3 linked regions of the Caenorhabditis elegans genome follow. The protein of the gene in region 2 purifies or fractionates together with the protein of the main gene of each other region. This does not show direct contact. Each region holds a gene or a part of one and is shown on either strand. Other genes may lie near its edges.

Region 1 (11,169 bases), on a different chromosome or scaffold from region 2:
ACATAATGGCGCCAAAAATACGGTATCCGGTCTCGACACGACAAATTTTTAATTAAATGCAAATAGGTGTGCACCTTTAAGTAGTACTGTAACTTCAAGTTTTCATTGATGCGGAATTTTCATCCATTGTTTATAGTATTTTTTAAAATTTTATAGTATTTTTTTGATAAACAAAAATATTTTTGTCGAATTACGATATGAGTCTTGATATGAAAATTCCGCAGCAACGAAAGTTTGAAATTACAGTAATCTTTAAAGGCGCGCACCTTTTCGCATTCAAAAAATTCTTGCCGCGTCGAGACCGGGTATCGTAATTTTGACGCAAAATCGCAAAACTTTGCATCTAGAACAACTATTTTTACCTCATTTGGTCTGACAAATGTACGTTGTTGTGGTGGAGATACAACAGCGGCTGGTTGAGATGTTCGTGGAATATTGGCAGAACTTGAATGAACGCTTCCTCCTACTGATTGAACACGGGTCTTGGTAGACTAAAAATTGAAAAATCCGATGATTACTGTTATTATTATTTTAATTGAAAACTGTAACATTTGACATGATTAATATGGACGAGAACGACAAAAGGATAATAAAAATTAAGGAAATTAAAATAAAATAATACCTGTGGTCTTGTTCTTTGTGTATCCTCAAAATAAGATCGATGACCATCGACAATAATTTCATCGGGTTTGTAAGATGGATTCTGGAGAATGGTTACAATTGGTTAAAGAAATGAAATCACAAAACTAAAATAAGGACCTTTGGACGTGGAGGATCAATACTGTACAGAGATTTTAAAGTTGGAATGAATCTGGCTGGCGGCGGAGGGACACGGATCTGAAAATGATGAGGATCGACAAGGACAGTGAAGTGAGTGATATAGATGAAATATTGAAACATGCACGTACAAGTGGTGCCTGAGTCTGTGCTGGAGGTGCCGGAGGTGGTGGTGGTTGGGCGAGCAGAGTGATCTGCAACATAAGATAAATAAGGGAATCAGAGGAATCAACAAAGAACATTTGAAATAAACTTTTTTAACTTAATGAAAATCTGTGAATAAGGAGGGATAGTTGGTGTCGTATTTTTTGATTTCCAGGTTTTGAACTAATGGTTCGAACTTCTCAATCATATCCAAAACATCCTGTTTGGCAAAATAATAGTTTTAAACAAAATTAAATTAAAGTTTGGAGGAAACTTTTTTGACTTGGTGCATAAAATCAATTTTGTGCCATAATTACCTTTTCTTGGTTTTGAGTGAATGAATTTGGTTGCTCTCGGAACAATTTATTATCAAAATCGACTTGTTGAACACTTCTAGCAGTATTCACATGTTGGAATGCAACATCTGGTACTTGTGGAACTGGCTGAGGCTTCTGATGATATCTTGGGATATCGGCTGGTTGAACCATTACTGGATTCTGCTGAGATGGACCATATTGTTGTTGCTGATAAGCCTCTGGTGGTGGGGGTGGAGCTTGTGGGATAACAACAGTTTGTGAGTAGATTGGTGGTGGAGCTGGTTGTGGTTGCTGCTGATATTGAAGTGGTTGCTGTGGTTGCTGTTGTTGGTACTGTACAGGCTGCTGCTGTTGCTGTGGTTGGAAATATTGTGGTTGCTGAGGCTGTTGCTGAGCTTGGAATTGTGGTTGGTACTGTTGTTGAGCTAGGAATTGCTGATAATTTTGTTGTTGTTGCTGGAATTGTGGTTGCTGCTGGAACTGCTGTGGTTGTTGAAACTGTTGCTGTTGGAATTGCGGGAATCCGTTGAAATTATTAAATTGTTGATGTTGTTCTGGCCATTGATAGTATTGACAGTGAGCTGAAATTAAATTTTAAAAAACGTTTTTTTTAAGTTTCAAACTGAATATTTTCTTGACAATTATGATGGTAATGTTTTTGGGAAATATGCTACCGTATTTAACTATGAGTCTTGCACCATGTGGCAGCTATATCAGAATTTTTTAAATCTGTCAACTGACATAAATTCATTATCTGTTATTCTAGTTTCATTCTAGAAAGATTACGGATATTTTCAAGTCTAACGGAAAAAAAACTTTCAAGTTTGAGTGATGGGGTGCGGAACAGAAAGACAATATATAATTTTCAAATTTTGAAAATGGTAGTGGTACTAGAAATGCAATATATTCGTGTTTTCAGTGGATAACTGAAACTATGGGTTGAAACTAAACTTTCTACATTAACCTATAATAGAACTTAGAGCTCACCGTTGGCTGCCAATATGGCAACAGTTGCCACAAATCGGTAGATCATAATAATGGTAGATAGAGAGAAAATGGAAAGGTAAGAAGGTATAGACTAGCAAGACCGGATCTTAGTGGGCAGCCCAGCACTGCTAACTAAAGCCGAATGGGGCGTGGCCAAGACGTGGAGCGGGAGAAGCTGGTGAAGAAGATTTTGGAAGAGAGAAGGCGGAGGGAGAGGAACACTGGAAAAGGTCGACGGGCCTCTCTCTCTGTAACGGTGCGTGGGCAAAATGTGTAATTTCTAGTATAATCTAGGCGACACAGAGACTGGTGTGAAGCTGCTTTGAAAGACAAGGGGAAAGATGCCGTGATTGTTAATTAAGAATATACTAGGTGTTGTACATCTTTATGGTCACACTTGCCAAGAACACTACTAGTTGATTGTGGTTTGGGAGTTTCGTTTCAATTTTCTTAATTTCAATTGAATTACAATGATGAAGAGTTTGATGGTCATGACCTTCGCAATTGTTTTGTTTGAAATAGTTTGAATAAACGGAATACATAGATGAAGCGGTTATTCCGGTGAGACATCTTTCACTTTCAAGGCGCTAACCTTTTTGATTGGCAATTGCATATCCCATCACAAACAATTACATGCCTTCCTCTTTCATTTTCTCTCTCGAGTCATGACACCCTGACGACACAACGTGACGAAACGGCGCGACACCGCTAAACCCGTCTCCAGAAGATGAAGAAAAAGCTGAGAGGATATGAAGATGAAGCATTGCGCAATCGACGAGGGCACGACGCCACAGATGTTTTGGCCGCCCGCCGCCGCCGCCACAGGAAAGGAAAAGCCTTTTGAAAAAGGACGAAGCAAAAAAGAAAAGCAAAAGATAAATAAAAAAACGAGTTCCTTTAGTAGATAAATTGGATATATAGAATGGACCGACTGTGGCTGACATTGTCTTTTTAGATGAACATACAAGTCCACAACAATGGATCTTGTAATTTCTAGAAAAACTGAAAAGCTGCGTAGACTTTTCGGTATTGAATGAAAAATTAATAATTGGTCTGAAATCTCGACAATTCGCCGCAACTTCTCAATCAACTCTAGCAAACCTAGAAATCTATGCATAGCCTGAGGATTGAATATTTGGAGTTCCAGAAAAACAATCTCATACTATTTGGAAAAATGATCTGTAAAGATTTAAAAAAATAAAATCTAACAATACCGAATTCAGCAAAAAATGTACTGAAACAGTTTCTGATGGAAATTTCAGGGGCTCAGATTTGATTTCTTCGGAAAATTTCACTAAAGTTGATGGAAACATGAGGAAAACTAAGAGAATATCTGACTATATATGATCGGACTCATTATTCTAAATGTGTGTCACCTAATAAGAACATTTTATGATCGAGTATCCTAACTTCTTAAAGCCATTTTGAACTTTAGATGACGTAATAATAAATCTCTGGTTCTCATGTCCATCGGATCTTTTTACCTCAATTTATCTTATCACCTCTGTCCACTATGATTGATTCTGAAAGAAACTCGGTTACGTAATCACAATCGGGTTTCCTTCTCCTCTTCATTCTCTCAATTTCGATTCTGTCTCTTTCTGAATGAATCGCTTTTTGGAGATATATATGTACATACAGACACACTTCCATTTATTTCCTCTTTGCCATTTCATTATGATACTACACTAGGGACTGATATGTAGTCTACACAAAACAATAAATACAGTAGGCAACATTAATGGATGTAGTGAGATAGAATGCATTACGCCATTCGAAATAAAACCCGCATAGGTGTGACATCATTAGGAAGAGTAAGAAGGGTGCTGGTAGTTGTTATAAAAAGTGGAAATCTAGACGTTCTCATCGTTCACGCAACTGTCTCATCAAGTGGCATGAGTACATTTTAGAAACCATTTAGAAAATGTTGTCATTGAGGTCGGCACGCAGCGGAAGAAGTAGATGATGTCGTTCATCGGAAAACTCGGAAGACGTCGTAGAACTGCGGATGGAAGCACGAACAAATAGGAGTATTAGAGCGGTACCTAGGAACAAAATATTTTCGGTTTATATAAAAAGTTGAATAATGCTAAGACATATTTTTAGTCATAAGTGACAGAATATCTACCTGCCTACATCTATGCCTTTTTTCTTGAACTTTAGCTTGAACTCAGGTGTTAGATTTTTTCACCGTGCAGAGTATTTTTGATATATTTTTAAACCGTTTTTCTTATAGTATGTTTACATAATCTTCAAAAGTGAAAAAGTTCAAATTTGGTAGTACACAAGACGCAGGCGTAGGTGCCTTGAGGGCAGGCAATTAGCGTCTAGCGTTTTTGAGAAAATATGTTTATTGGTGCCCCTTTATTTTATATCTCTTATCTCTGAAAAAGCGAAAACGGAAACTTTCTCCCAATGAAAATATTTGAAAAGTGGTTTTATTGATTATTATAGCAGCTGCTTTTAATCTAAGCCGCCTCACAAAAAAATAAGCAACGTATTTTTTCCCAGACCAAACTCACCAAAAAGGAAAAATACAGGAATCATGTATGGAGGCATGCTTAAACCAGGAGAGCTTGCAAAAGCTGAAGGAACTCGGAGAAATCTCATTTCTCTTGATGGCTCACAGTTTTCAGAGTTTTGAATCGTTCTTAGGTACGGACATTCAACAGGAGGACACACGAATCTATCGAATCCAACTGATAATTGATTAGTGATTGTTTTTTGATCAATTGGTTCGAACAATCCTTTCCAAATTTGTTTCGCAGCAATATCATGAGCAATTGGAGAAAGATGGAAGCAATCGAGTGCCAATAGTCCAATATTCGGCTGGTTTTTAAGTAACGGAATTGATTTTAGATCCATGGCTGGAGCAATCACAACAGCAAATGTAGATGAATTTCCATATTTTTGATTGAATTGTTCTACAACTTCATTCAATTGTTCATCGAATTGTTTCTTGATGTTTTGATATTCTTTTTCATTTAATTCAAAAATACACGAGCATGTTTTTCTGTAATTATATGTTTAATTTTTTTTTTAATTTTGAAAAACAAACCTATGTGAAAACTCGCAGAACTTACTCAACTTGTGAGCTTGTGAGTGAATTTTGACATTTATTGGTGGCATTATGTTAACGAATACCTTTGGAACATTTGTTTGAATTATTGTAAGTGCCGAGTGAAGTGACTTTCCAAATGTTTCAGGCCCGAAGGTAGTCTGAAATATTTTTTAATGGAAATGAAAATTAGCTCCGATGTGAAATGGTTATTTTACCTCATTATTGCAAATGTTACACAAGTCATTATGACCGATGAAAATATTAACGAATTTCCATGTATCAGATGTTTCTCTACCCAGCTTTTTCTTCAATGTACTTGCTAATTTGAGCGCTTGTTCGGGAAGCTCCGAGCTGAATGAGCCAGGAATCGCCATGTTAAAGTCGTAAAACTTTTGAACAAAATCAGAGGATCCTCCTTTTATTCGCGGTGCAAATTTACGGAAAATATCTGAAAAGCTTCTGTTGCAAGTAAGTGAAAGTCAAAACGAATTATTACTAATAAAGGTGGCTTGCTCATTCAGCTTTACATCATCTCCTGTTACAAACGAAACACCAGGAAACTGATCAAATAAATCGAGAATTGACGATGATTTCGCCGCTTGTGCAACTGACACAGAATCGCCTAGTGCTGCTATCACTCCAATTTGTGATGGATGAAGCTGATGTACAGATTCGGAAGATTTTCGATGAGGTTGGGGACAATTGAAGTTTGGAAAGCCCATTGGGTACTCTGTAACACGGAACTTGAAGGGTTAGATGGAACGATTAATAAACTAACCCATTGAATCCATAAACGCATTTCTAGTTTCTTTCCACTGATTGAATACTTCCACAGATGTTTCGATAATTTCATTAGGAGGTGAAATAATAGAATTAACTTCCACAAACGCCAAAAAAAGGAAAAACCGTGCCATTTTCAAGAAGAACGCTGCAGAAAAATGAGGTAACATGTATGTTAAAGTTAAATCGTTTTTCAGAATGATAAGATAGTCTGTTTTCCAATTTACACCGTAGGACATAGATAAGAGGGCGAGCAAATTGGTAAAAAAGGGGACAAACAAGTTTGTGTAGTCTGTGTTTATATGTATTTCGTTTTTGCAAATTGTGAAGTAAACTGAGCACAAACACCAACTCATTTATTTAGCGCTCAAATTCTACTGCGAATAATATTTGATATTAGTACATAAGTCTCAATAAGCTTTTCTCAAACTCAAAAGGGCTTGCGAGAGGTGATGAAAACGAGGTCATCTACAGTTAATGCCACCTAAAAATGCTCAAAAAATCAATTGTGAAGACCGCGTTCAGGCTGTGTGATAGATAAACCCATGTCACCATATATGAAAAAGTTAAGAAGTTCTTTGAAAAAAAGAACTCCTGAATATAATTTTAACAAAATTTAACCATTTCTCAGAAAACAGTAACCTGTATATATTCATATTTCCACTTTCAAAAAAATTCTCAATGTATATCCGGTTGGCAGGTGCCGCTGAAAAGTGTTCAATGAAACGGCAGCAGACTCCTTTGTATTCTTCAACTCTTTTTCCCAGATGTTCATGATTGCAGCTCATCGTACATCACAATTGCATGCACATTCATTTTAAAATGTGTGTGTTTCCTACTGATTCAATAAATTGAAAATAACACCACAAGTCACCCAGAGGAAATGTAAAATTGCGTCATACATGAGTTGTTCCAACTTTCAAATGGCACCTTGCGACATTCTCATCGAAGATCATGCAAACATGACTCACCATCATCTTCTCCTCTTTCTGCTTTCCTCCGCTAAAACTGACCATCCGTGGCGAGCTGTCTGCGTCTCAATATTTAAATTTGTTCCCAACCCACTATCTCACCTTTCCGCGTCCGTTTCCAATTTCGATCGCAATACAAACAAACACACTCATACATACCTTTTTGTTGCCCCGGTGCCCGCTTGCACTTGCTTATTACAATTATTCCACGGCTACATTTGTTTCTTATTTTTCATCTGAAATAATATTTTTCAAACTGTCAAAATAGTGTCAAGATCAACGAAAGAGGCGGCGCAAAGACGTTCGCAGAACGCCGCCGTCGTTCATTTGAATGCGGACGCAGAAGAAGATGACTGTTTTCATCGAATACCATATGCATCACTTATTGGATCATTATTATGCATTCTTGGAGTTATTCTCTTTGCAATTATGATGTCCTGGGCATTTAATGCAACTGCAGAGCAAGTCAGAAGATCTCTGAAAATAAATGATTGGCCATGGCTTGACAAGGTTCAAGTTTTCTTTATTGTAATCGCAGTTTTAATGGGACTATTCTCACTTTTCTTCTTATGCATCGGATTTACTGCAACTGGAGGAACAAGAGAAACTATGTATAAAGGTTCAAAATGACAATGATCTAGGAGAACTTATGTACAATATTTTCAGACGATGAAGCTCGCTGTGGTGGAAAATTTGCATGCGTCATCGCAATGTTGATCGATTTCTTTCTAGTAAGAATTGCTCAGTAAACGTATAATTTTAAAACTAACTTTCAGATAATTGCATGGCTATTCATTATTTCAATTGTATCTTGGCTTTGTATATTTTATTATTTCTTCGATCGGCTCTGCATGAATCTTCCAGGATATACAGATGGTGACTGTATAGATCTTCATGTTTTCTGGCCATTAGTTTCGTCCTTTGCCAACTCGGTGAGTATTAAGTTTTAGGATTCTCAAAAGAAAGCAATTTAATAAGTTCCACATTTACATATGTAGGTTGAATTGGAGAAATGTTAAAATTTGGGATTTTTTTGAGTATTCTTCCTAAAGTTTATGAACAACAACTTTATCATTTTGAGAAAATTAAAGTCAACAAATGAATTATTTCAGAATCTTCGAATGTGCGGTGGAGATGTGCAACAATTCTGTGCACTTACCTCCACAGCATTCTCTTGGTATGTCATCGGATGGGTTGGATGTGTTCTCATCATTCTTGGAGTTCTTTTATTTTTTGGAATTCATGCATCAAATTATGCACATATTGGAAATGCTAACAGGTTTTTATTTTCATATTGGAAGGCCGTGAAAACAAAATTTTAGATACGTTGAACTTGGCCATCTTCGGATAGTTGAACATCGAGAACCAGGAGCAGATCGAAATTCTAAAAATGCAAATGGTCGGAAAGATGTACGATTGCCAGAAAAATATGAACTTCAATCAACACAATATAGTGATTCTCGTGCAAATTATTCAATGAGGTAAGCCAAGTTTTTTTAGGTATTGGTTTCAAATTGAAGAATAATTTTTTATTCATCTCACCTACTGCTTTATTTTTCAGAACCTCAACAAGCCGTCAAGCTGAGCACATGTCTGATTCTGTCAGTCAGTTCGATTATCGCAGGGATAAAAGATTAAAACCGGTTTACTAACTTTTAAAAATCTCACGTTCATAATTAGGATTTTGAATTTTTTAAAAATTATTCCACGACAACAATAAATGCTTTTTATTAATTCTTTTCAAAACCTATCATCATGACAACACTTTCGCAAGGTGATCAACAAATGGTATAAACAATTTATATTTTTCTTTCAATGTTTCGTTTTGTAACAGATAATATTCGAAGATGATACTCGCGATCAAACGATGTTTTTGGAAGTAGCAAATCGTTTTCAAAAACGAATGAAGTTTGGTTGGGAGACTAGTTTCGGACCATTGCTCAAAGTGAATCCGCCGGTTGGCATAATGGAGCCAGGAGAGACTGTATTTGAGTTTTATTCTGGTGAAAGTTATGAGCGTGTATTTCAGAAATCGTTTGAAATTCAATTTAATGGAGGTCATCTTCCAAATACGGATGTGATGGATGCAGATCACTCGGTGAAAATGTGGTTGACGCCGGCGGAAACTAGAAAGAGAAGCTTAGAGGTAAAAGGTTATTAGTTGGATTTTGACTTCTCAACAAGAGTATATTCGAGGACAAAACATTACGATTTAATTGAATTCTGCATTTGATCTACATTTTACGATAAGTGTTATGATGGACTGAAAATGAAAAATATGGGTACTTCTTTAAAATTAAAAAGTATCATTTAACACTATGTAAATCCACATCTATTAAAGTTAATTCGAGATTCAGATATATAGTCTACTCCTGAAATGAAAAAATAAACTTTTGAGGCCACTCTAATTTTCAGAACACAACAGTCCAAGTTCCGATCATTTTTGCTGTTCATGTGCAACCGAAGTGTGTTATGGAATTTGAGAACTGTACCAAAAACTGATTATAAGTCAATAAACTATTTCGATTCACTGTTAAAAGTGTGTTCAGTACAAAAGAAGAAACTCCCAAATGTTGGTTTTTTCACAGATCGTTGCAGGTTTTATGATATCAAAGTTGCGTAACGTTCAGAAAAACTTGGAGACTTGGTTCTGAAAAAAAACAAAACAAGTTTTTCATTCGTCATTTCAACGTTGTTACGTTTTCAAGAAAGTTGTTCACAAAATCCTTTCATCAAATCTGTTGCAAGATCCATTTTTCATTATGGACCATTGATTGTGGACCTCTGCTTGCTTTTGCTTCAATTTTTGGTCTTTCATGATTTCAAAGTATATTGTTCCATAAAATGTATATGGCAATTAATAAAATAACTAACGGGAGCAATTTTATGGATTTTATTCACAATGAAACACTCAATTCTCTGAAAACAGGAGAAACCCCATTTTTTCATTGTTCAAAATTCCTGAAAAAGTAAATAGTCAACCTCACAATTAAACTGAAAAAAATATCGTTGACTTCAAAGTATAAAAAAGTTTCAACAGAAAGTTACCATAGTTTTGGCCCACTCTTCGCATCTTCTGGCAGTAAACTAGAGTTGCAAACTAATCCAATTGCATTTTCAATTCAATTTCTCATCTATTCAGTTGCCATGAAAACATACTCTAGAAAATAACGAATTGCATTATTTGTGTGAAGAGTGCGAAAAGTGAGCAAACACTGCAAAAATTCAAAAGAACACATCCCAATCACTGTTAAACCGCCTAACAAATAGTTGTTCAGCTAAAATTGACGAAAACCATTCTCCTGTACTCTGCTCAAGTGCTGAAGTAATTGAATATTTTAGGAAGTTTCAGATGTTCAAAACATCAATTCAACTCTTTCTTGTTTTTCCATTTATTTGCAGTGTATCACGTCCTACAGTTAAACTGATAATTGGTAAGTTGATATAAAAGACAACTGATTTCCAAAAGTTATTACTGCATGTTTTTTCAGAATTTTTCATGTAAATCTTGTTTAAAATTTTTACAGACACCGATGGGGTTTATGATGACATTCGTGGATTAACAATTGCTTTGACAAACCAAAATGTAGAAGTTATTGCCATTACAACTGTACATGGAGGAGTTACAGCAAATCAGTCAGCTGCGAATGTTGCAAGGCTTCTTCGAGCAATTGGGAAGCACAATGTTCCAGTTTTCATTGGAGCTCAAGATTCGTTGGTTCCGAAAGGTCCTATTCAAGTATGGGAAGAACTTTTTGGTAGTGATGGAATTGGTGGAGTTCCTGATGTCGAACCGAAAACTCTTCCATCTGATTTCAATTCTGCTCAAGTTGGAAATGCAGTAGATGCAATTATAAATTTGACAAAATCAACCAAAGATATAATACTAGTTGGTTTGGGACCACTGACGAATATTGCAATGGCGATTCGGAAAGATCCAGACATTTCGAAAAGAGTTAAACAGGTTGTGATAATGGGTGGGAACTATCTTGGTGTTGGAAATACTCAATTCAATTCAACTGCTGAATTCAATTTTCTAATGGATCCTGAGGCTGCACATATTGTTCTTTCATCTCTTCATACAACGATGATTCCATGGGATACTTGCTTCCTGAAAGGACCAGAAGTGAGT
Region 2 (10,634 bases):
TCTCCGTAATATTTTGGCTTGGGAACCGGAAAACTAGAAGTTTCTAGCTTGATTTTGGATTTCGCTGGTTTACGGTAGCTTGGGAAGTACGCAATCAGTGTGTTTCCGTTTTCTTCAGGCTACCGTAATCCAGGAATTTCTTATTTTGAGCTAGTGACTTTTAGTTTCTTTTTTTCGAAATAAAAATTAAAAAATTTGCGGTTAAAAATCGGAAAATCTGAAAAAATCGATAAAACTTTGTTGATTGGATTTATCAACAAAAAAATTTATTTTTTTTAAGGAAAAAAGTTTACAAAAATTGTTAAAAATTAGAGTTTTTTTCCCAACAAATTTCGGAAAAAATGTCAAAAAAAAAAAATAAAAAACATTTTTTGCAAATTGGGAAAATTCTAGATTTAAGTATTAAGAAAACGATTTTAAAGAGAAAAATATTTCCGATAAATCGAAAAAAAAAACACAAAAGTAATTTTAAAAAATCATTTTTTTTTAATTTCAAAAAATTGAGAACTCTTCGATTTTTTTTTTGTGAAAAAACCCAAGAAAAAAACCGATATAGTTTTTAAAAATATAATCTTTTTTCCCGAAAAAAACAATAATTTTTTCCGTTTTTTTTGTTGCAAAATCCAAAAAAAAATTCAAAAAAAAAACGGAAACAAATTCCAGAGCGCCCTTCAAAATTTCATACGCCGTGAGGATTGCCATCAAATGCACCTGGAGCACAATTATTCTTCTCTCTACCAAACTCACGACTCGGATGAGGAAAATCAACCGGTGGTGGAGGTGGAGAAACTGATTACCTATGAAGAATACCAAGAAAATCTTTATTCCGCAGAATTTGCATCTCCACAGACTCCACCGCCAATTCCACCACCTCCCGCCGTCTACTATGACAATTTCTCGGATGCTCCTCGAAAACGCGGTCGACCAGTTGGATCAAGAAATCGGAAGGAGGGAGACACCACAATTCCGAAGCAGCAGAGAAAACGGAATCCACAACCGGTTGGACGTGGCCGTGGCCGTGGTGGTGGACGGCCACGTGGTAGTCGATCTAGCAGAGGATCAATGGATGATGGAGGAGGATCAAGACGGCACTCGACAGCATCAGATGCTAACGAATCTGCGGAATTGTTGAACCAACCTGTGACGAAACAGCTGAGAGATGAGATTAAAGAAATAAAACTGAAATACACGAAAATGATGATGGATCGGGGTTTCGAGCAGGCGAAGGACGAGTATTTTAGGTTCGAATCCCGGAATTTCAGAATTTCCCGCAAAAAACTAGATGAATTTAGTTCAATTTTGCACTATTCCGGTTACTGTAGCCTCGAAAACTGATTATGGCCGAATTTTCCCATTTTCTAGGCCATGGCAGCATATTTTGGCCAATTTTAATATAGTGGCTGAGTTCTAGATTTTTCTAGGCCATGGCTGCAAAAACTTGGCCAAATTGAGCAGTGGCCGATGTTTTCAACTGGATTGCCTAGGCCACGGCCCACAGTTTTCGAAATGTTGTGTATTTTAAGTTCGAATTCCGAATTTTCAGAATTTCCGACAAATAAAAAAATTGATGAATTTAGCTCAATTTTGCACTATTCCGGTTACTGTAGCTTTGAAAATACGCAAACACTGATGATGGCCGAGTTTTCTCATTTTCTAGGCCATCCTAATTCAAAAAAAGTTTTAAAAAAATTGATGGCCCATGTTATATTTCTAGAAAGCAAATCCACTTTTTTTTTTTAATTTTGAGTCCTAGGCCATGTTTGTCAAAACTGCTCCAATTTCAAAAATTCAATAGTTGCCGAATTTTTCCATAAGGTTTTCTAGGCCACGATCAGAATTTTGTGAATGGTGGCCGGGGTTTTGAGTTTCCTTAAATTCCTTTTTAAAATTTTCAGTGGCTGAGGTTTTTCTAGGCCACGTTTTTTCTTTGTAATCCAGTAATTCCAGGGGCCGAGTTTTTCTTTTGCAGTTTCTAGGCCACGATAGTAACTTTGAAAGCACCTTTAATTAATTTTTTAAAACAGAAAAACAGTGAAAAATTAGCATTTATAATTTCTAGACCATGGCCGAGCTTTTTCCTTGATTTCTAGGCCATTTTTATTTATATTTATGAATTTTCAGAAATCGTGACGCAGCACTCAGCAAATGGACGCCTGAACAATGGAAAGAGCACAATGAGCAATGTGTGGCAGCCCGTCTCTCGTCTCTAATCCCATACGATCAACGATATTTCCTACCGACTCAACGGGTCCTGGCACGATTGGATCTCGAGGATGGCGATCTACGACTGCCGGCGGTGCATCTTCCAATTGCCATTCAAAGATGTGTCACAAAACTCGGCACCGCCCATGATTGCCACGTACGATGTGATAAATTGACGGGCGATGCGTGGTGCTCGGTGCTTGCAGATTATCATTGTGATATTGTTCGCGATTATTATTCGGATAATTTTTATATTTCGACACTCGGCACTGAAGCGGTTTTTGTGGATGGACGGGCGGTACGAAGACCGCGGCTGACACCGTTTGAGGCAGCTGAGAAATTGAGAACTCGAGGTATTGGAAATGCCAAGAAATGGGCGGGGATTGGAAACTCCGTCTACAAAATGGATAATAAAAAATTGAGGAGTGCGGAAAATGTGGAAATTTTAATTTTTTTTCCGAAAAATTCCAAAAACTCAATTTTTTTGGTGAAAAATACTAAAAAAATCTACAATTTTTAGGGTTTTTAAGGCATATTAAAATCAATTTTTTCTGAGAAAATTCTGAAAATCCGAATTTTTTGATTTTATTTGTTTTAATGCAAAAATATCTACAATTTCTAGGCTTTTTTTCCAAATTAAATTATTTTTCCTGATAAAATTCTGAAATTCCGAATTTTTTTGATTTTTTTTCAATTTTCCTTTAAAAAAATGCCAAAAAATCTACAATTTTTAGGTTTTTTTTCTGATAAAATTCTAAAAAATTACGAATTTTTGGGATATTCTTCATAAAAAGGATCCATTACTTATTGAAAAAAATTTAATTTTTGCAGGTTCCTCAACAATCATCCCTCCACATATCAAATGTCGATGCCAAAAACATTCTGATCTACAAATTTCGCGCCAAGAGAGCACCGGTGAACTCGTTCGCTGTGGAATCCTGAAACTGGAGCACGGAGCACGTATTCAAATTGGCTGTGTCGCGTTCATCTTCTCTAGGATCTAATTATGTGATCTCTTACCTCTTTTTTTCTGTCCGTGAATATCACGTATTTTGATTTTGAAATTTTTTTATGTGAAATCGTAAAATTTTAATGATTCTTTTGGGTGTTTTTTTTTTTGGAAAAAAAAGATTTTTCCGGCAAACGACACGTACAACAATTGCTGAAATTGAAAATTTCCGGCAAATTCGGCAAACCGGCAAGTTGCCGAACTGCAATTGCCACCCATCCCTGTTGTGGGTGACAATCATTTTCCAAAATTTGAAATTGAAATGTTCAAAAAAAAATTGAGCAACGCAGGTTCTACTCCTACAACAGTAGGTGTATGGAATAAAATACTCAGGCAACTCAAATCTAATATGAAAATATTAAATAGCAATATTTTTGTAGTAAATACGAGAAATAGTGCGTCCATATAATATTACTAAAAATTTCGAATAGATTTCGATTGTCTCAAAATATTACAATTTGATCTCAAAATATTGCGAAATATTCTCAAAAGATTGCTCAATCTAAAAAGATTTCGAATAAGTCTCGGAATATTGCGATTTTATCTTGAAATATCACCCAACTACAAAAATATTGCTATTTAATATTTTCATATAAGATTTGAGTTGCCTGAGTATTATCTAAAACTTTGGGAATATCATTATGAGTGGTGTTGCTCTCGCTCTAACAGGATAAAATATCATATTTCCCAGAGTTTTCAATTGGTGTCAGAGTGTCCCATTTCGGTTTGATCTACGAGAAGCGCTGACGTTACGGTTTTCTGTACAAAAATTTGTAGATCAAACCGTAATGGGACAGCCTGACACCACGTGAGTTTGTCCGGTTATGCCCTGCATTTTGCAAATGTTATGATATTTATAATTTTTATAAATAACATTTTTCAATTGTGGAAGACTGTTAGAGTTTCTTCTGCCAAATGTACCTCCAGAATTTTTTATTTAGATGTGGTTAATGTTCATATCTCTGACCCCATGCCTGCCTGTGTATTAGTTGGAGTGGTCAGGACCAGTGTACATCTATAACGTATGTAGTACCCATTATCTTTTTCCTAATCAATAACCTGTTGGTTCACCAAGTCATTCATTTTCTTATTCATTCTTCTTACAACCATGATGAGAGGTTTTCCAATTTTTCGATTACCGCATAAACCACTACGTTTATTGCTGAAAACTATGGAGGTGCAAGATTTGTGAGTGCATTTTTTTCCCAACTGGAAACATAAATATTCTTATAAGTAGAAACAAGTTTTCAGAGTGAGGATATCGTTTTATTCAAAAACTGCCAAACATGCTGTTGAATCGTTGAATATGAAGCTCATATATTTTTATATAACAATTTCTGGGACAATACAATTTGATATCTTCACTTATAATATGGAAGATCTCAATTTGAAATTGTCTGTGACACAATCTGAAGGAAGGAATTTGATTCGAGTGCACGGTGAAAAAGTAATGACAGGAATCAGTTTGCGGGAGTTTATAGATCAAATTCTTACAATATTCCATCAAGCAACTATTCATAAGCTATTTATTAAGCATATCGACTACGATTATCTAGAAGAATTCAATAATTTGAATATTCAACTTTTACACCTCGCGACTAGGAGCTCACTGAAACATTTTGCAAGACGATTCGATTTTCTAACTTTAGAGCAAATTACTTGGGAAACTCGAGATTTCCAGTCACTTGTGGGCCTCAACTTCAAACATTTAGAAACAAGAAGCACTTTTAAACTAGAAGACTTACTCGTTTCAAATACTTCTCAAATACTTATTCATGAACCATTGCCCCTAACAGATCTATGCATATTTCTAAAACATTGGATCAATGGATCAACTGAACGGCTGGAATTATTCCATATGCGTCTTCCTCAAAATTTTCAGAAGGAAGAATTTATTCAGAATGCCTTAAGTGGTATTAAATACAAAAAACTGGACGTCGACCAAAAACTGGAGTTCGAAGCAGCTGTGGATGTATGGAAGGACTCACACAGAGAGGTGAAAAACGAGGGATTTGGAATCCAAAGGAGCGATGGTACCTACGCAATTATTGTTGTGTGTGATGAGTTTGCAACTAACAAGTATTTGAAGATGTTTGTTTGGAAGCCGATTGATTCAAGTATCGGAGATCTCCTTAAAATTGCATCGTTTTAAATGTTAGTTTTGATTTTTTCTTTGTATTTTTGCGCTAAAATACGGTAAATCTTTTGTTTAATGCGAAGAGGTACGCACCTTTAATGAGTACTGTAATTTTAAACTTATTTTTTGCCGCGTGGTTTCCGTTGCTCGAGCCAAAAAAATGCCGAAGTTATTTATTAGAATTTATTCTTGATTTTAATCGATAAATATATATTATTTACCACAAACCATTTCGACTTTGATCAAAGCTTTGATTTAAATATATTTAATCTTAAATTTCCCGCTGCAAACGCGCTCGCTGACACGGCGCAGAGATAAGAGGGCGCCAGAGAAGTTTTGAGAGAAATCATTTTTTTGAATTTTATTTTCAATGTTTCCTGAATTTCAGCTCAATTAAAGCGGAAAATGTTTATTTTTGCAGAGTATCTACGTGGTCACAAGAGGAAACTTGTACAAAATTAATTTAAATGTTAAACATCTATTTTAAAATGATTTATTATTTATTTTTCTGTTGAATAAATTGAATAAACTTAAATCTTGAATTTAAATCGTGAAATTTAAATCGTTTTGTAATTCTGGTTGCCAATTTACCAGTTCATTTCTATTTTATTAACAATTTCCGCACAGATCATCAGTTTCCCTTCCAGGAATCCCAAAAAATGGACAGATATTACGGTAGCCACGTGGCAAATTCAAGTTTTGACTCATTTATGCAATCTGTGGATCCATTTGAGCCAACACCGAAACGAAGATCCACTGGAGAGGTAATTATGCGAAAAAATCCGGAAAAGCTCGAACTTCAGAGGTTTTTCCAGCTTTTCAAGGAGAATTCTTGAGAAATTGGAAAAAACATAGAAAAACTGGCAGAGTTTGCTCAAATTTTTGTATATAAATGACTGCCTTTGTCAATTTTTGCAGAATATTGTTGAAAATCGAACAATTTCATCAAAACATTGCTGAAAATACAGAAAACCTGAAAATTTCAATGTTTTTCGAGTTTTATGCAGAAAAATGCGATAATTTTCGCCTGAAACTCGTTTTTTTTCAAAAAATCTTTTAGAAAATTGAAGTTTTGAGTATGCTAAAACAATAAATCAATTTTTCCAAAAATTTGCGCGTCAAATATGGTGTATTAAGTACGCAATTAGAAGTTGTGCAAACACCACTAATATTACACCATATTTTACGCGCAAATGTGAATATTTTGTCTTAAAATTGCAGTTTTTGAAAAAAAAAAAGGTTTTTTTTTCAATTTTCTCAAAATTTCAGTCGGACAGCATCGCCCGAGCCATCAGAAATGCTTTGGATCCCGAGCTACAGTACCCCCAGCCATCAATCGATATTTTTGGACCGTCTACATCAAATTTTGGAAATTATGAAGAAAATGATGAATCAATTCTGGCAATAGTATCCTCAACACATTCTTCACAAGAATTGAGCACAACAACGGATAGGGAAAAACCGCCGAAAAAAGTGAAAAAAGAGAAGAAAATTGGAGAAAAATTCCCGATTTTCAACTCCAAACCGGCGCATCAGCCGATTATGGATGATTTTTTATCACCTGATGATATCGAGGTGATTAATGGGATTTTTTCTATAAAATCCCGGAATTTAAGATAAAAATCTAGAAAAAAAGTTTTCCATTGAAAATTAGAGTTTTGACTTATAAAAAAATCGCGACGAGACCCATTTGAACAAAATGCGTGCGCCTTTAAATTTAAACTCTGATTTTGAAAATTCATTAAAATTTGAATTTTAAAAATTTTTCGGAAAAAATTGCATCAAACTTTTGATATTCATTCATTTTTTCTTAAAATTGGTTGAAAAAACTCAAAAAATTCTTAATTTTTCAAATTTTCAAGTTTTCTGATTTAAAATTTTTCTTTACGTTAAAAAAATTAAAATAAACTATAAAAAATGCTTCAAATTCTTTGAAAAAAAAAATCAAAAAAAAGACCGATTTTTCTTGAAAAATCCAATTCCTAAAAACCTTCTTGCTACAAATTCTGCAAAAATTCAAAACTCACAGAATTTACAGAGAAAATAAAAGCTCAAAAAATTCGTATTTTTAGCAGAAATTCAAAGTTCTAAACAATTTTGCGCGTCAATAAAATTGGATTTGAAAAAAATTAACCTGAAACTTGTAAAAAAATTATTTAAAAAAAATTTTTTAAAAAATCGCTCAATTTTAATATTTTTTGTTGAAACAATATGGCTAAAATTTCTAATATTTAGAGCAAATTATCAAAACGGTCCAAATCTCATAAAAAGTTTCTGAAAAATTCCAAATTTTCTGTATTTCCAGCGCTACCGTAACCGTCCCCGGAAACCATACGTAAAACAAATTCGAATGGACGATTATCTATTCAAAGCCCGTCGAATTGATAAAGGATCACGAGAATTTGGATTACACACAACACACGAACCAAAACGTGGAAGCAAGAAAAAACGGGATTCGATTGAAAGTCTTGAAGTTGAAAATATTCAGAAACCATCGAAAAAGCACAATGAGCAACATCAAAAGAAGCCTGAGCAACTCGATTTCACACTGGCATTCACTACGCCGAGTCCGGCAAGAAATCGCCAAAAAACTTCGAAATTGACAAAGTTTTTCGAGAAAAATCCATCGAAAACTTCTAATCGAGGTGAATATTTATTTTCAATTGTTTTTTTGAAAATTAAAAATTCAAAAAAAATTATTTAAAAAAATCTGGAAATTATTGGAAATAATTTTTAGTTTTTTTCGAACATAAAAAAAACGTGTTTTTTGCTTAAATTAATTTAAAAAAAGATTCTCTAGAAAAGATTTCCGCTTTTTTTGAGATTTTCGAGAAATATCGAATATTTGAAAAAATTTCATTGAAATATACGGAAATGAGCTGGAAATTTAAAATTTTCTTTTTTTTTTTAAACGAAAATTCGAAAAAATAATTCCATTTATCAGAGAGTCGGTTCTTTAAAAAAATTTTTAAAAACAGAAAATTTTAAAATCGAGAAGCAAATATTTCCCATATATATGGGAATCGAAACAGTAAAAAATATTTTCTAGATCGTTAAAATTTCAAAAATTTCCGTTTTTTCAGAGATTTTTAAAGAAAATCGAATATATGAAAAATTTCATTAAAGAAATAGAGAAATGAGCTGAAATTTTGGGATTTTTCGATTTTTTTTAATTAAAAAAAAATCAGAAAATCGAGAAAAAATTTCTTGATTTTTTTAAAGATTTTCAACAGCAAAATAAATTAAAAAATTAAAAAAAAATTATTTCCAGATTCGAAAATTGAAAACCGTTCGAATTCTTCATCTATCATGTACAATGATCCATCTGCCTACTCAAATGATAGTATTTTGGATGATACAATTATCTCCTCAACACCTCCTGATAAATCATCATTTCTCGCTGAAACTATGCCACTAGCGACACCAAGTCCCAAGAATTTGACACCAAAAAGAGCTCTTCCGACTTCTAGTGCTCGATCGATATTCGGACACGTTGTGCTGCCGAATCCGATGAAACGAAAGGATTTAGGTGTTCTGGCAGCAGTGGAGAAGGTTGGAAATTTCTGAAAATCTGGAATTGGAGAATAATTGTGGTCTCGCAGCGAAGATTCTAAAAATAGATAAAATCAAAATTTTCTAAAATTAAAAAATGCGGAATTTTTTTAAATTGCATTTTTGAACCCAAATTTTTTCGAAACGTTTTGTTCATAAAAAAGTTTGTAAAAATTCAAAAAAAATTTAAAATTTAGAAAAAAATGCAGAAATTGCCCAAAAGCTAAAGAACAATGCAATTTTTTTAATGTGAAAAATAAACACAATATTGAAAAAAATAAATATTTGAAAATAATTCAGAATTAAAAAAAATCAAGCAACTGTTCAATTTTTTAAGGTAAAAAAAAAATTCAAAATCAAAAATATTGTAAATCTATAAAGATTCACGAAACTTTTTTATTTAAAAAAATTCTGAAAAACTCTTAAAAAATTATTTTAAAATTCCTATTTTTTTAAAATTTCAGAAAAATTACAAATATGTATTTTTTAAAATTTTTTATTTTCTATTTGGAAAGATATAAATTCAGAAATATTTAGACCTTTATACTGAATTTTTGTCAAAAATTGAAAAAATCAATTAAATCCCAATTCCAAATAAATTTAATATCAAAACACTTAAAAAAATTTTTTAAAAAGGTAAATCTGTAAAGATTTGGAAACCTTTTCATTGGGAAAATTCTGAAAAACTCAAAACTTTCTTTTGGAGTACAAATTTGAAAATAAATTCAGAAAAATTACAAAAATGTAATTTTTAATTTTTTTTTCCAATTCAAAAAGTTAAAAAAAAAAAGAAAGAATCGAATTTTTAGATCAAAATTTTTTTTTATTGTGAAGAAAAATAAATTCCAAAAAAATACTGAATTTTTGTCAAAAACAAATTCAAAAAATTAATTAAATTTTTATTTCAAAATGAGCAATATGAGAAAAAATTGTGCACTCAAAAATTTAAAACTTAAATTCGATTTTTTTCAGGACCGCCAGCCATTGAAACAAGCGAAACGTCAAAAGACGACTGGCTCAAGTAAAAAGGTAAAACTTCTCCCATAAATTGGCTTTTCGCTACGTGGCCGCGAAAAAACTCGGTCACAGGCACATTTTTCCTCAAAAATTTCTGAAATTTCTGAAATTTTCAGCCAGAATTCGACTATCCATCGTCGCCAATCACACTTCACGATGAGCAGGAGGAGCAGGATCTGAAATTGAGAACACCCGAGCGAAAGACTCTGCAAAACGAAGAGGCGCAGAGAAAACAATTCGGACGCCACATGTCAGAACGTGAACAACTCATGAAACAACTGGTAGATCAAAAGTTTCGAGAAGAGCGAGAGAATGGAGATTTAGAGAGTCGAAGGGCTCAATTGAAGGATGGACAAGTGATTCGGAATAAGGAAATGAGGAAGAATTTGATGCACGGAGCCGCGTGCAAGTGTTGTAGAGCTTATTATGATGGTCTCGAGATGGATGAAAAGGAGAAGGAACAGTATATTAATCAGGTGCATATTATAAGACTGCCCTGGAATTTTCAAGAAATTTGGAGTGAAATTTTCGGAAATTCAGTCAAAACTCTATATAACCAAATTTTTTCAAGGTTTTTAAAAAATCGAATATTTCAATTTGGGTTTTCCAATTTTTATATTTTTATTTTCCAGTTAGCTCCAAAAAAAAAAAGATTTCTTGAAAAAAATTTCAATAAAAAAGTTTTAACGAAACTGAGGTTTCACGTGGTGTCAGAGT
Region 3 (11,121 bases), on a different chromosome or scaffold from region 2:
TAAAATATGAAAATATGTTGAAAATTGAATTTTAGCATAACTTTCATCATATAATCACCCAAAACCTCCAAAAAAGTGGCAAAACTGCTGAAAACTGTAATTCCCGTTAGAAAAATCATAAAATCTTCTAGTTTTCAGCTAAAAATCCCCAAAAACCCCATCTAAAAATGTTCGAATTTCACATTTCCCCCCAAAAAAATTGGAAAATAATTGAAAATTGAGTTTTCTGATAGAAAAATCGTTAATTTTGAGCCGAAACCTCAAAAAATGGGAATTCTTTGTGCAAAAATTGTCAAAACTGCTGAATATTGCAATTCCTGTCAGAAGACTCGTAAAACTTGGATTTTTTACGAGTCTTCTGACAGGAATTACAATTTTCAGCAGTTTTGCCAATTTAATTCCCATTTTTTGGTGATTTCGGCTCAAAATTAACGATTTTTTTATTAGAAAACTCAATTTTCAACTATTTTCCAATTTTTTGGCGGAAAATGTGATTTGAACATTTTTAGATGGGGGTTTTTGGGGATTTTTAGCTGAAAACTAGAAGATTTTATGATTTTTCTAACGGGAATTACAATTTTCAGCAGTTTTGCCTTTTTTTTTGAAGGTTTTGGGTGATTTTGTGATGAAAGTGATGCTTAAATTCAATTTTCAACATATTTTCATATTTTAACCTAAAAAATTGCATTTTCCGGAAGTTCAATGTGAATTTTGGCTGAAAAATATGCTAAAATCGAGTTTTTAACTATTTTTTTCAACAGATTATTGATTTTCCCGACAGAAATCTGATTTTTCACAATTTGTACGAACAAAAAAAAAACGCATTTTTGCAAGTTTTTGGCTGACAATTGGAATTTTTATTGATTTTTCCATCTGGATATAAAATTTTCAGATTTTTCCAATTTTTCTCCCTGAAAAACCATATTTTTGAGCATTTTTTCTAGGAAATCATATAAGTTTTTCCTAGTTTTTGACTGAACATACGCATTTTCAGGTTTTTTTGAAGCAATTTTTCTGGTTTTTATCAAAAAATCCCGAATCTTCAGCCATTTTCCTACAAACCTACCAAAGTAGATCACACATGATACCCTCATCTGGTGGCTGACGATTTCTGTCAGTTTTTCGAATATCTTCCAGTGTTACACCGTCTTCTTTGAATAATCCACCATGGCACACCTGGAAAAATACCAAAAATTAGCAGCGCCCAGAAAATTAGCAGCGACCAAAAAATTAGCAGCGCCCAAAAAATTAGCAGCGACCAAAAAATTAGCAGCGACCAAAAAATTAGCAGCGACCAAAAAATTAGCAGCGACCAAATAATTAGCAGCGACCAAAAAATTAGCAGCGACCAAATAATTAGCAGCGACCAAAAAATTAGCAGCGCCCAAATAATTAGCAGCGACCAAATAATTAGCAGCGACCAAAAAATTAGCAGCGCCCAAAAAATTAGCAGCGACCAGAAAATTAGCAGCGACCAGAAAATTAGCAGCGCCCAAAAATTAGCAGCGCCCAAAAAATTAGCAGCGACCAGAAAATTAGCAGCGCCCAAAAATTAGCAGCGACCAAAAAATTAGCAGCGACCAAAAAATTAGCAGCGCCCAGAAAATTAGCAGCGACCAGAAAATTAGCAGCGCCCAAAAATTAGCAGCGCCCAAAAAATTAGCAGCGACCAGAAAATTAGCAGCGACCAAATAATTAGCAGCGACCAAAAAATTAGCAGCGCCCAAAAATTAGCAGCGCCCAGAAAATTAGCAGCAACCAAAAAATTAGCAGCGCCCAAAAATTAGCAGCGCCCAAAAAATTAGCAGCGACCAGAAAATTAGCAGCGACCAGAAAATTAGCAGCGCCCAAAAATTAGCAGCGCCCAAAAAATTAGCAGCGACCAGAAAATTAGCAGCGCCCAAAAATTAGCAGCGCCCAAAAAATTAGCAGCGACCAGAAAATTAGCAGCGACCAAATAATTAGCAGCGACCAAATAATTAGCAGCGACCAAAAAATTAGCAGCGCCCAAAAAATTAGCAGCGACCAAATAATTAGCAGCGACCAAAAAATTAGCAGCGCCCAAAAAATTAGCAGCGACCAAATAATTAGCAGCGACCAAAAAATTAGCAGCGCCCAAAAAATTAGCAGCGCCCAGAAAATTAGCAGCGCCCAAAAATTTAGCAGCGCCCAAAAATTTAGCAGCGACCAAAAAAATTAGCAGCGCCCAGAAAATTAGCAGCGACCAGAAAATTAGCAGCGACCAGAAAATTAGCAGCGACCAAAAAAATTAGCAGCGCCCAGAAAATTAGCAGCGACCAAATAATTAGCAGCGACCAAAAAATTAGCAGCGACCAAATAATTAGCAGCGCCCAAAAAATTAGCAGCGACCAAATAATTAGCAGTGACCAAAAAATTAGCAGCGACCAAATAATTAGCAGCGACCAAAAAATTAGCAGCGACCAAATAATTAGCAGCGCCCAAAAAATTAGCAGCGACCAAATAATTAGCAGTGACCAAAAAATTAGCAGCGTCCAGAAAATTAGCAGCGCCCAGAAATGAAAAATCCAGGATTTCAGCGATTTCTGGGCCATTTTCCTCAAATTTTCCAGATTTCCAGGCCATTTTTCACGTGAAGAAACTCACAAAAATCTTCTCATTAATCAAATGGCACAATGGTAACCAGCAGAACGTCTCCGTAAACATATCACACATTTGTTGAGTATATTTCGCCTTAACTTCACCCTCAAATCCGTACATTTTATTCATGACGTCAGATTCGTGATTTCCACGTGACATAAAGAAATGATTTGGGTATAGAAGTTTGAAGCCAATCATTGTGAAAATTGTTTCAACGGAAAATGAGCCACGATCCACGAAATCACCGTTGAAAAGCTGAAAATTTGGCCATTTTTTGAGCATTTTTCACATATTTTAAGTGAAAATTTGGCCATTTTCGGGGGTTTTTGGGGTGAAAATTAGGTGTTTTCGTGATTTTTAGAGTCAAAATTTGGTAATTTTTGTGGTATTTCTGCAATTTCAGCAAAAAATTGAAATTTTTTCAAGTTTTTTGATGAAAAATTGCCAATTTTTGGTGAAAATCAGGATTTTTTAAAATGAATTTTAGCCAAAATTTCGAGCATTAAAAAAGAGCATTTTTCAGCTTTTTAGTGAAAAAAAAATATTTTGCATTGATTTTTAAGTCAAAATTTCGAAATTTTGATGGTTTTTTGTAGAAAATTCGACTTTTTCAAGATTTTTGACAAAATTTTGGCTTTCAGGCGGTTTTTAGTAAAAAAATCGAGCATTTTTCATAAATTTAAAGTCAAAAATTGGCAATTTTTTTGCTTTTTGCTAAAAATTCGGAATTTTTCAATGACTTCTGCCAAAACTTTGAAAAAAAAAATCATTTCAGGGTTTTTATCTGAAAATCCGCATTTTTGGTGAAAATTCCTCAATTTTCAGCTGTTTTGGTTTTAATGTTTGAAATTTTTTCACGAATTTCAATCAAAATGTCGATTTATTGAGCTTATTTCAATAATTTCTGCAAAAAAATTCAATTTTTAGAGGTTTTTCACTAGAAAACATGATTATATCACAAAATTTGCCTATTTTCATGATTTTCGGTCAAAAATTGGAAATTTTTATGAATTTTAGCTCAAAATTCCTCAATTTTCCCGGATTTTCAGTCAAAATCTCTCATTTTTCAGCGCTTTCCCCGTACATATGGATTAGTCTCCGATGGATATCCATTAATCTCGAAAATATTGCACAAATCGTAGAATTGTCCGTGAACATCACCGCAAATCGTGAATTTCTTGCCAGTTGGCACCGTAATTTCAACCATTGTTGGCAGTGATTTGACATAATTATAAAACTCGAGGAGCATCTTGAACGCGTACTTTTTGTGCAATTTTTGCTGATTTTTGAACGTTTTGATGAGTTGCAACACGAATTCCTTGGTTATCTGAAAAGGATTTTGATCATTTTTGCGGTTTTTTACGGAAAAAACGGGAAAAAACTCAATTTTTCGCTTTTTTTTAACGAAAAATTCACTTTTTTTCTGTATTTTTTGCGGAAAATCGATTTTTAGACTAAATTTCTATGAAAAAAAAATGATTTTCAGGCGAATTTTTCGTGAAAAATTGACTTTTGGACTAAATTTCTATGAAAAATAGATTTTTGGACCAATTTTTTAATGAAAATTCCAGAAAATCCAAAAAAGATTGGAAATTTGCACGTTTTCTGACCGGAAATGCTAGTTTTTTTTTGTGAAAAATCGATTTTTGGGTTAAAATTGCAGTGAAAAATAGATTTTCAAATTAATTTTTATGAAAAATAGTTTCAGGACCACTTTTCCCTTGAAAAATCGATTTTTTGGACTAATTTTCGCAAAAAAATTCGAATTTCTGGCCTATTACCCTTGAAAAACGTATTTTTAGATCGATTTTCACAAAAATTTATGTTTTTGGACCGTTTTTTAGATCAAATTTCTATGAAAAATTGATTTTTACATCAGTTTTCCACCGAAAATCGCAATTTCCGCTCTGAAAATTGAATTTCGGGGTCAAAATTGCCGGTTTTACATCAATTTTCCGTCTAAAAATCGATTTTCACAGCCATTTTCCACCCGTACTTTATCTTCCAGCCGTGGACCATCATACGAATCCTCAATAGCCATTGCATTAATATCAAGAGTCTCGGCGACGGTTTTCTTGTCGTGATCCGTCGAAATTGCGGCTTCAAACTTCTGTCGGCGGACGATTTTCGAGCATTCGTCGAATTTTGCGCGAGCGTCTTTGTCGTTGGGGCAAACCTGCAAAAAAATGGAAATTTTTTCGGGGAAAAATACGGGAATTTTTGAAATTATACTAAATTTGAGAGAAAAATTATCAAAAATCACGTTTTTCTCATAAAAATTGGTTTTTTTTTTCATAAATATCGATTTCTTTTCAATTTTTTCGGCCGAAAGCTGTCAGCAGCGCCCAAAATTGAATTAGCAGCGCCCAAAACTTGTAGTTTGTAGTTTAAGCAGCGCCCAAAATTAAATTAGCAGCGCCCAAAATATTGTAGTTTGTAGTCTAACAGCGCCCAAAATTGAATTAGCAGCGCCCAAAACTTGTAGTTTGTAGTCTAAGCAGCGCCCAAAATTGAATTAGCAGCGCCCAAAATCTTGTAGTTTGTAGTCTAAGCAGCGCCCAAAATATTGTAGTTTGTAGTCTAAGCAGCGCCCAAAATTGAATTAGCAGCGCCCAAAATCTTGTAGTTTGTAGTCTTAGCAGCGCCCAAAATTGAAAAAGCAAAATTTCAAATTTTTCGCGTTTTCCGACTTTCTGGAGGTGAAAATTGATATATTTTTTCGAAATTTTCTCTTAAACCGGGTGAAAAATAGTTTCTAAACCGCCGTTTTTTCCGCTCTTCAACACCCAAAAAAAGTGAATTTTCACCTTAACAACCGCCTGATAATCGGTCAACGCCTTTTTAAACCGCCCCAGAGCCATATTGGCGGTAGCTCTTCTATAGAATCCCTTCACATATGACGGATCAATTGCAATCGCGTTGTCCGCATCCTCAAGAGCACTTCCGTAGAGCTCTTTCTTCAGATAGGCCTGTGCACGGTTTCCGTAAAGAACCGCCGTCGGATGAATCTCAATTGCGACAGAGTAGAGGTCGGCGGCCACGTCGTACACTTGATCTGCAGCAGGAAAATACTTTAAAATTCATCAAAAAATCGGTTTTTTTCCAAAAAATACCCTTAAAAAACTGATTAGCTTCATCTTTAATCATTCCAGCCTTCTCCTTCTCATCTTCGTACGACTTTTCCTCAATTGACTCCAAAACTGTCGCCACAATGTCATCTGTTATAGTGGCAGCCATTTCGGAGCCTGAAAATTTAGATTTTATTTTTTTTTTTCTTTTTTTTCTCTTTTTTTTTAGCGAAAAAAACCGAATTTCGGAGCGGTTTCCCTAAAATTTAACCGTGTTTTTCGAAATGTTGAGCCTGAAATTCACAAAAAACACAAAAAATGCAAGAAAATCGATAGAAAATGAAGAATTTTGGGACAATTTCCGGTTGGACGGGGTTTTTTTTTTTTGCACAATTGCTCTTGTGTGTGGATTTACGGTAAACAACACGCGGTGGGAGGTGAGCGGAGTGTCGTTGTGTTTGGGTTTTTATTGGATTTTAAGGGTTTTTCGATGATTTCAAAGGTTTTTTACAGGGGAAAAATAAATAATAGCATGAAAACGTTGATTTTTTCATATTTTCGTAAAAAATTTACAGAAAAAAAGCTTAAAAATCGCTTGATTTCGGCAATTTTGACAAAAAATTTCTTGTTTGGATTTACGGTAAACTACACGCGTGGCCGGGATTTCGGAGCAACGTTGTCACTTTTTTTTTTTTTTTCATTTTATTTCTGGAATTTTCGCTATTTTACTCATTTTTCGACTAAATTTTCAATTTTCCGATGTCAAAATTCGGTGGAGCAACTGCAAAAGTCATAAAAGGCGCGCTAAAAGTCCGACAAACGAGGTAATTCTGAATTTTCCCGGAAATCTGCCAATTTTCACCCCGAAAAAGTTTCAGAGCGGCTCTCACACTTACCAACGAAGCCGTCAGCAGAATACGCGTGTTATTGGCTCAACAGAATGATGCAAATGCGTTGAAAGTTCGTTTTTTCCGTCGATTTTTCGATTTTTCGATTTTTGCGCCGCCGGAAATGATGAAATTTTTAATTTTTTCAGATCGGAGTTCGACAAAAAGGCTGTAATGGGTTAACATATACACTGGAATATGCAAAGGATAAGCAGAAATTTGACGAGGAAGTTGAGCAGGTAGAAATTGCCTCAAAATCTGGATTTTTAGCTCAAATTTATCACAAAAAACCCGGATTTTCACTAATTTCGATGAAAAATCCCCCAATTTTTCCCATTTTCCAGGACGGAATCAAAGTGTGGATCGAACCAAAAGCTCAGCTCTCGCTACTCGGCTCAGAAATGGATTACGTCACCGATAAGCTATCGTCGGAATTCGTTTTCCGAAATCCTAATATTAAAGGAACGTGTGGATGCGGAGAATCTTTTAGTATTTGATTTGATGATGATTTGCTACGCTATTTACCATAATTTAGTAGTGATTTCCACGTGTACATTCTAGAAAAAATGCTAATAAATTTGAATATAGTGCAGAAAATTTGGCAATTTTCAGGTGAAAAACATATGAAGTTTGCATGATTAACTTGTTTGGAGAAAAATACAAAAGATACAAAAAAATTCGACCACGCTGGGGGCTCGAACCCCGGAGGTGTGATTGGTAGTCGGCGAAAATCCCACTGCGCCACTTGGACACATTTTTTTGAAAATTCAGAAAAACGATGGAAATTATAAGAAATCACGGTTTTAAGTTAAATTTTAAATTTTTATATGTGAAAAACTCACAAATTTTAGATTTTAAAAAAAATTAAAGTTTAAAATTCAATTTTCACCATGTTCTCGTAGTTTTTGTGTTCTAAAACTTGAAAATTCGGATTCCGCATGGTGGAATTATCCGAAAACCATTTAAAAATCAAAATAAAAATTTTTTACCACAGCGGGGACTCGAACCCCGGAGGTATGATTGGTAGTCGGCGAAAATCCCACTGCACCACTTGGACACAATTTTCGAAAATTCAGAAAAACGATGGAAATTATAAGAAATCACGGTTTTAAGTTAAATTTTAATTTTTTATATGTGAAAAACTCACAAATTTTAGATTTTTAAAAAAATTAAAGTTTAAAATTCAATTTTCATAATGTTCTCGTAGTTTTTGTGTTCTAAAACTTGAAAATTCGGATTCCGCATGGTGGAATTATCCGAAAACCGTTTAAAAATCACAATAAAAAAATTGTGCCACAGTGCGGTCTCGAACCCCGGTCTTGTGATTGGTAGTCGGCGAAAATCCCACTGCGCCACTTGGACAAAATTTTCGAAAATTCAGAAAAACGATGAAAATTATAAGAAATCACGGTTTTAAGTTAAATTTTAAGTTTTTATATGTAAAAAGCTCTAGTTTTAGACTTTTTTAAAATTGAAATTTTGAAACTTAATTTTCACCATTTTCTTGTAGTTTTTGGTTTTCTAACACTTAAAAATTTGGACTCTACGTAGTTGAATTGTCAAAAAACGTTAAAAAACCACTACAAAAATTTTTGACCTCAGCGCGGCCTCGAACCCCGGTCTTGTGATTGGTAGTCGGCGAAAATCCCACTGAGCCACTTGTACCGAACTTTTCAAAAATTCAGAAAAATGATGAAAATTATAAGAAATCACGGTTTTAAGTTAAATTTTAAGTTTTTATATGCGAAAAACTCACAAATTTTTAGATTTTTCATAAATTAAAGTTTTAAAACTCAATTTTCACCTTTTTCTCGTAGTTTTAGTTTGTTCGGCGAAAATCCCACTGAGCCATTTGGACAAAATCTTTGAATTTTTTTGTTTTTTTGTTTTTTTTTAAATAAAACAATTTTCAGAAAAAAGAACGTAAAAATTTATTCACTTTTTGCAATAAAACTTACAGTTAGAATAGCAAAAAAAAAAACCAATAATGTTTGGTGTTTCCAATATATATATATATTTATATAAAAACCCGTAATACATATATCCAACATAAAAATGGGCATCTAGAGAAACGGAGATCATATTTCAAAAAAAAAATCCAAAGAAAGACATGTAAAAATCAATAAATTCAAAAAAAAATTGCAATTTTTTTCACAAAAAAAAAATTTTTTAGAAAATCTTTTTCAATACAATAACCGATGTAGAAAAACTAATAAAAAGACGATAAATATTGATGATGACGTCATTATTGTAGAATTACACCGGTCACCGTAACACGAGCACAGTTGAACATCGCCGAGTGCCGGGGGGTCAGTCTGCCGGGCTGGGTTGAAGAGGGCTGAGCGGGAAAGCGTTCGGCAGTGGTTCTGGAATGTTTTATTAAGAATCACAATAAAAATAAAAATTATTGACCGCAGTGGGACTCGAACTTTGGACCTGTGCGTGGTAAACGCGCCTCTAACATACTGCGCCACTGGGACTCATTTTTAAAACTGTCTAAAAATTGTCGGGACTACAAATATTTTAAGCTTTTAAGCTTTTAGGCTTTAAAAATGTTTTTTAACTCAAAATAAGCCTATTTTGAGGCCTAGAAAATCGATTTTTCAAAATGAGCATTTGGTGTTGTCAAATTCCAAAATTTCAAAAATATCAATATGGGGGTCAAATCAGTAGCAAAATTTATCGCAAATTCAAATTTTTTATCAAATTTGAGCTAACGTCACTTTGAGCCGAGATAGAGCTCGATGAGCATTTTGGGACGTCGATTTCTAAAATTTTGAAGTTGTCGATATGGGGGTCAAATCAGTAGCAAATTTTATGGCGAAATCAAATTTTTTATTTAATTTGAGCTAATGCCTCTTTGAGCCGAGAGATAGAGCTCATTGAGCATTTTGTGTTGACGAGTTCCACACTATTTTCGACCCCAGAAGAACTCACATTCTGATGAAACCGGTGAGTTCGGAGCGCTGATTGGTTAAATCCGTGCCGCAAAACTCGGTCCAAGCATCCTCGGATATGTTTGAAGCCGATAAATACTCCTGGAAAAAATAAAATTAAAAATAATCATTTTTTGAAATTTTTGAAAAAAAAAATTTTTTCAGAATTTTCAAAAATTTCCAAAAAAAATTTTTTTTTTTTGAATTTCTAGCTCATTTATTTCTATTAATCAAAAAACCTTCAAAAAAATGCCTACCAGCTTCCACATCGGGCTCCATCAGCGATACACATACACTTCCACACATTACAGTAGGCATTCCACGTTCACTATTCGGGTCGCGGCATCTGTCGGTGAAGACCTGAAATTTTTAGAATAATCGTCATTTCATACGACTATTTATCAATTTTCATGATGATTGGTTGAAAAAATAAAATAAAAAAATATAGAAAACCAGCCAAATTACGAGGAATTGAAATTTCTTTTTTTTTTTAATTATAACTACAGCCAACGTTTTGAGACCTAATATACAAAAAAATTCGAATTCGGTTTTTTTTGTTGTGAATATTAGTATAATTATGACATATTTACCATATTTTTTGAAAATTGGTAAAAATTCGAAAGTTGCAAAAAAAAATGGCAAATTTTTTTCTTCAATTTTTCGAATTTTCCGATTTTCTCAAAATTCTGAGGTCTGAAAATTTTGAAATTAAAATTTTTGAATTCAGAACATAATTGCGGTCAATTTAAATATAATCATGACATGTTTCTAATAACTTTGAAATTTAGAGAGAGAGTGCAGAGAAACGAGACACTCTCGCTGTCTGCGCCTCTTCGTCAGGTGTTAAAACTGCTGTAACTCGGTTTTTTTCGTGGTAGGACCCATCAAATTTTTTTTTTCAGAATTGGGATTAATGGTTTGGATTAATAAAGTTTTCTATTCTTTTTTAGAAAAAAATTTTTTGAAAATTTTTTTGACAAATTTTTTTTCTAAAAATTTACAAGTTTAACTTTATTCTACACAAACTTTTTTTCAAAATTTCAAAATATTCATATTATTGTCTCTAGAACAGTATGAGCAGAGTTATGACAGTGCTTGATTTTTTAGAAAAAAAAAATACTGAAAAAAATTTTGAAAAAAAAAATTTTTTTTAGCAAATTTTTTAAAAAATCTTTTTCATCGACAGTCAAGCTAAAAACTCACTTTAGGATAAATATACGTAGTTTGTAAGTATTTCCAACTAGTCTGGTAAGACAGCGACATGCACGAGTAACATTCGACTTGTCGTGGGATTGGAGCACCGGCGCCTGCAAGAAAATAATTTTTAGGAGGAGGGAGGCTTGCTGAAATATTTTAATTTTTTTGTTGAAAATATTCTGATTGAATTTTGTAAGAAAAATTAAAAAAAAAATCCAATTTTCAAAAAAAAAATTTTTTTTTTCGAAATTTCAAAAAAAATTTTTTTCAAAATTTCGAAACTTTCTCAGCTATAAATTTTCCATTTTATAATTAACTCTTTACACACTCTAACACATGTCTCAATTCTCCCCATTAACCAATAAAATCCGGTGATTTATCCCCCCAATTCCCCGAATTTCACCCACTATTTTC

Evidence for each region.
Region 1: the proteins of fbxb-87 (region 2) and F13H8.11 fractionate together in Caenorhabditis elegans (co-fractionation; one large-scale study listed by BioGRID). This does not show direct contact.
Region 3: the proteins of fbxb-87 (region 2) and pph-5 fractionate together in Caenorhabditis elegans (co-fractionation; one large-scale study listed by BioGRID). This does not show direct contact.

Annotation. Positions count from the first base shown.
Region 1 is NC_003280.10:6,253,756-6,264,924, forward strand, and holds F13H8.11 (Lipase_GDSL domain-containing protein), read right to left. Parts: upstream 6,267-11,169; 5' UTR 6,201-6,266; coding exon 6,065-6,200; intron 6,017-6,064; coding exon 5,783-6,016; intron 5,735-5,782; coding exon 5,502-5,734; intron 5,445-5,501; coding exon 5,284-5,444; intron 5,239-5,283; coding exon 4,748-5,238; intron 4,271-4,747; coding exon 4,143-4,270; 3' UTR 3,858-4,142; downstream 1-3,857. Other genes in the region: dbd-5 (uncharacterized protein), read right to left, coding at 363-491, 623-703, 760-837, 909-971, 1,239-1,819, 2,226-2,271; nmgp-1 (Neuronal Membrane GlycoProtein), read left to right, coding at 7,467-7,656, 7,704-7,768, 7,814-7,969, 8,150-8,316, 8,360-8,518, 8,599-8,689; F13H8.12 (MSP domain-containing protein), read left to right, coding at 8,793-8,825, 8,872-9,021, 9,067-9,183, 9,453-9,539; F13H8.3 (Inosine/uridine-preferring nucleoside hydrolase domain-containing protein), read left to right, coding at 10,390-10,471, 10,565-11,163.
Region 2 is NC_003281.10:10,890,370-10,901,003, forward strand, and holds fbxb-87 (F-box domain-containing protein), read left to right. Parts: upstream 1-4,150; 5' UTR 4,151-4,319; coding exon 4,320-4,399; intron 4,400-4,462; coding exon 4,463-5,363; 3' UTR 5,364-5,365; intron 5,366-5,769; 3' UTR 5,770-5,887; downstream 5,888-10,634. Other genes in the region: athp-1 (PHD-type domain-containing protein), read left to right, coding at 664-1,241, 2,122-2,555, 3,034-3,206; com-1 (DNA endonuclease activator Ctp1 C-terminal domain-containing protein), read left to right, coding at 6,059-6,112, 6,618-6,923, 7,654-7,993, 8,620-8,900, 9,873-9,929, 10,034-10,393.
Region 3 is NC_003283.11:19,185,290-19,196,410, reverse strand, and holds the start of pph-5 (Serine/threonine-protein phosphatase 5), read right to left. Parts: upstream 5,865-11,121; 5' UTR 5,857-5,864; coding exon 5,733-5,856; intron 5,675-5,732; coding exon 5,427-5,674; intron 4,796-5,426; coding exon 4,616-4,795; intron 3,947-4,615; coding exon 3,704-3,946; intron 2,875-3,703; coding exon 2,626-2,874; intron 1,177-2,625; coding exon 1,067-1,176; intron 1-1,066. Other genes in the region: Y39B6A.3 (Iron-sulfur cluster assembly 1 homolog, mitochondrial), read left to right, coding at 6,447-6,511, 6,560-6,647, 6,724-6,813, 6,919-7,071; hot-2 (Homolog of Odr-2 (Two)), read right to left, coding at 8,758-8,940, 9,512-9,612, 9,768-9,870, 10,714-10,817.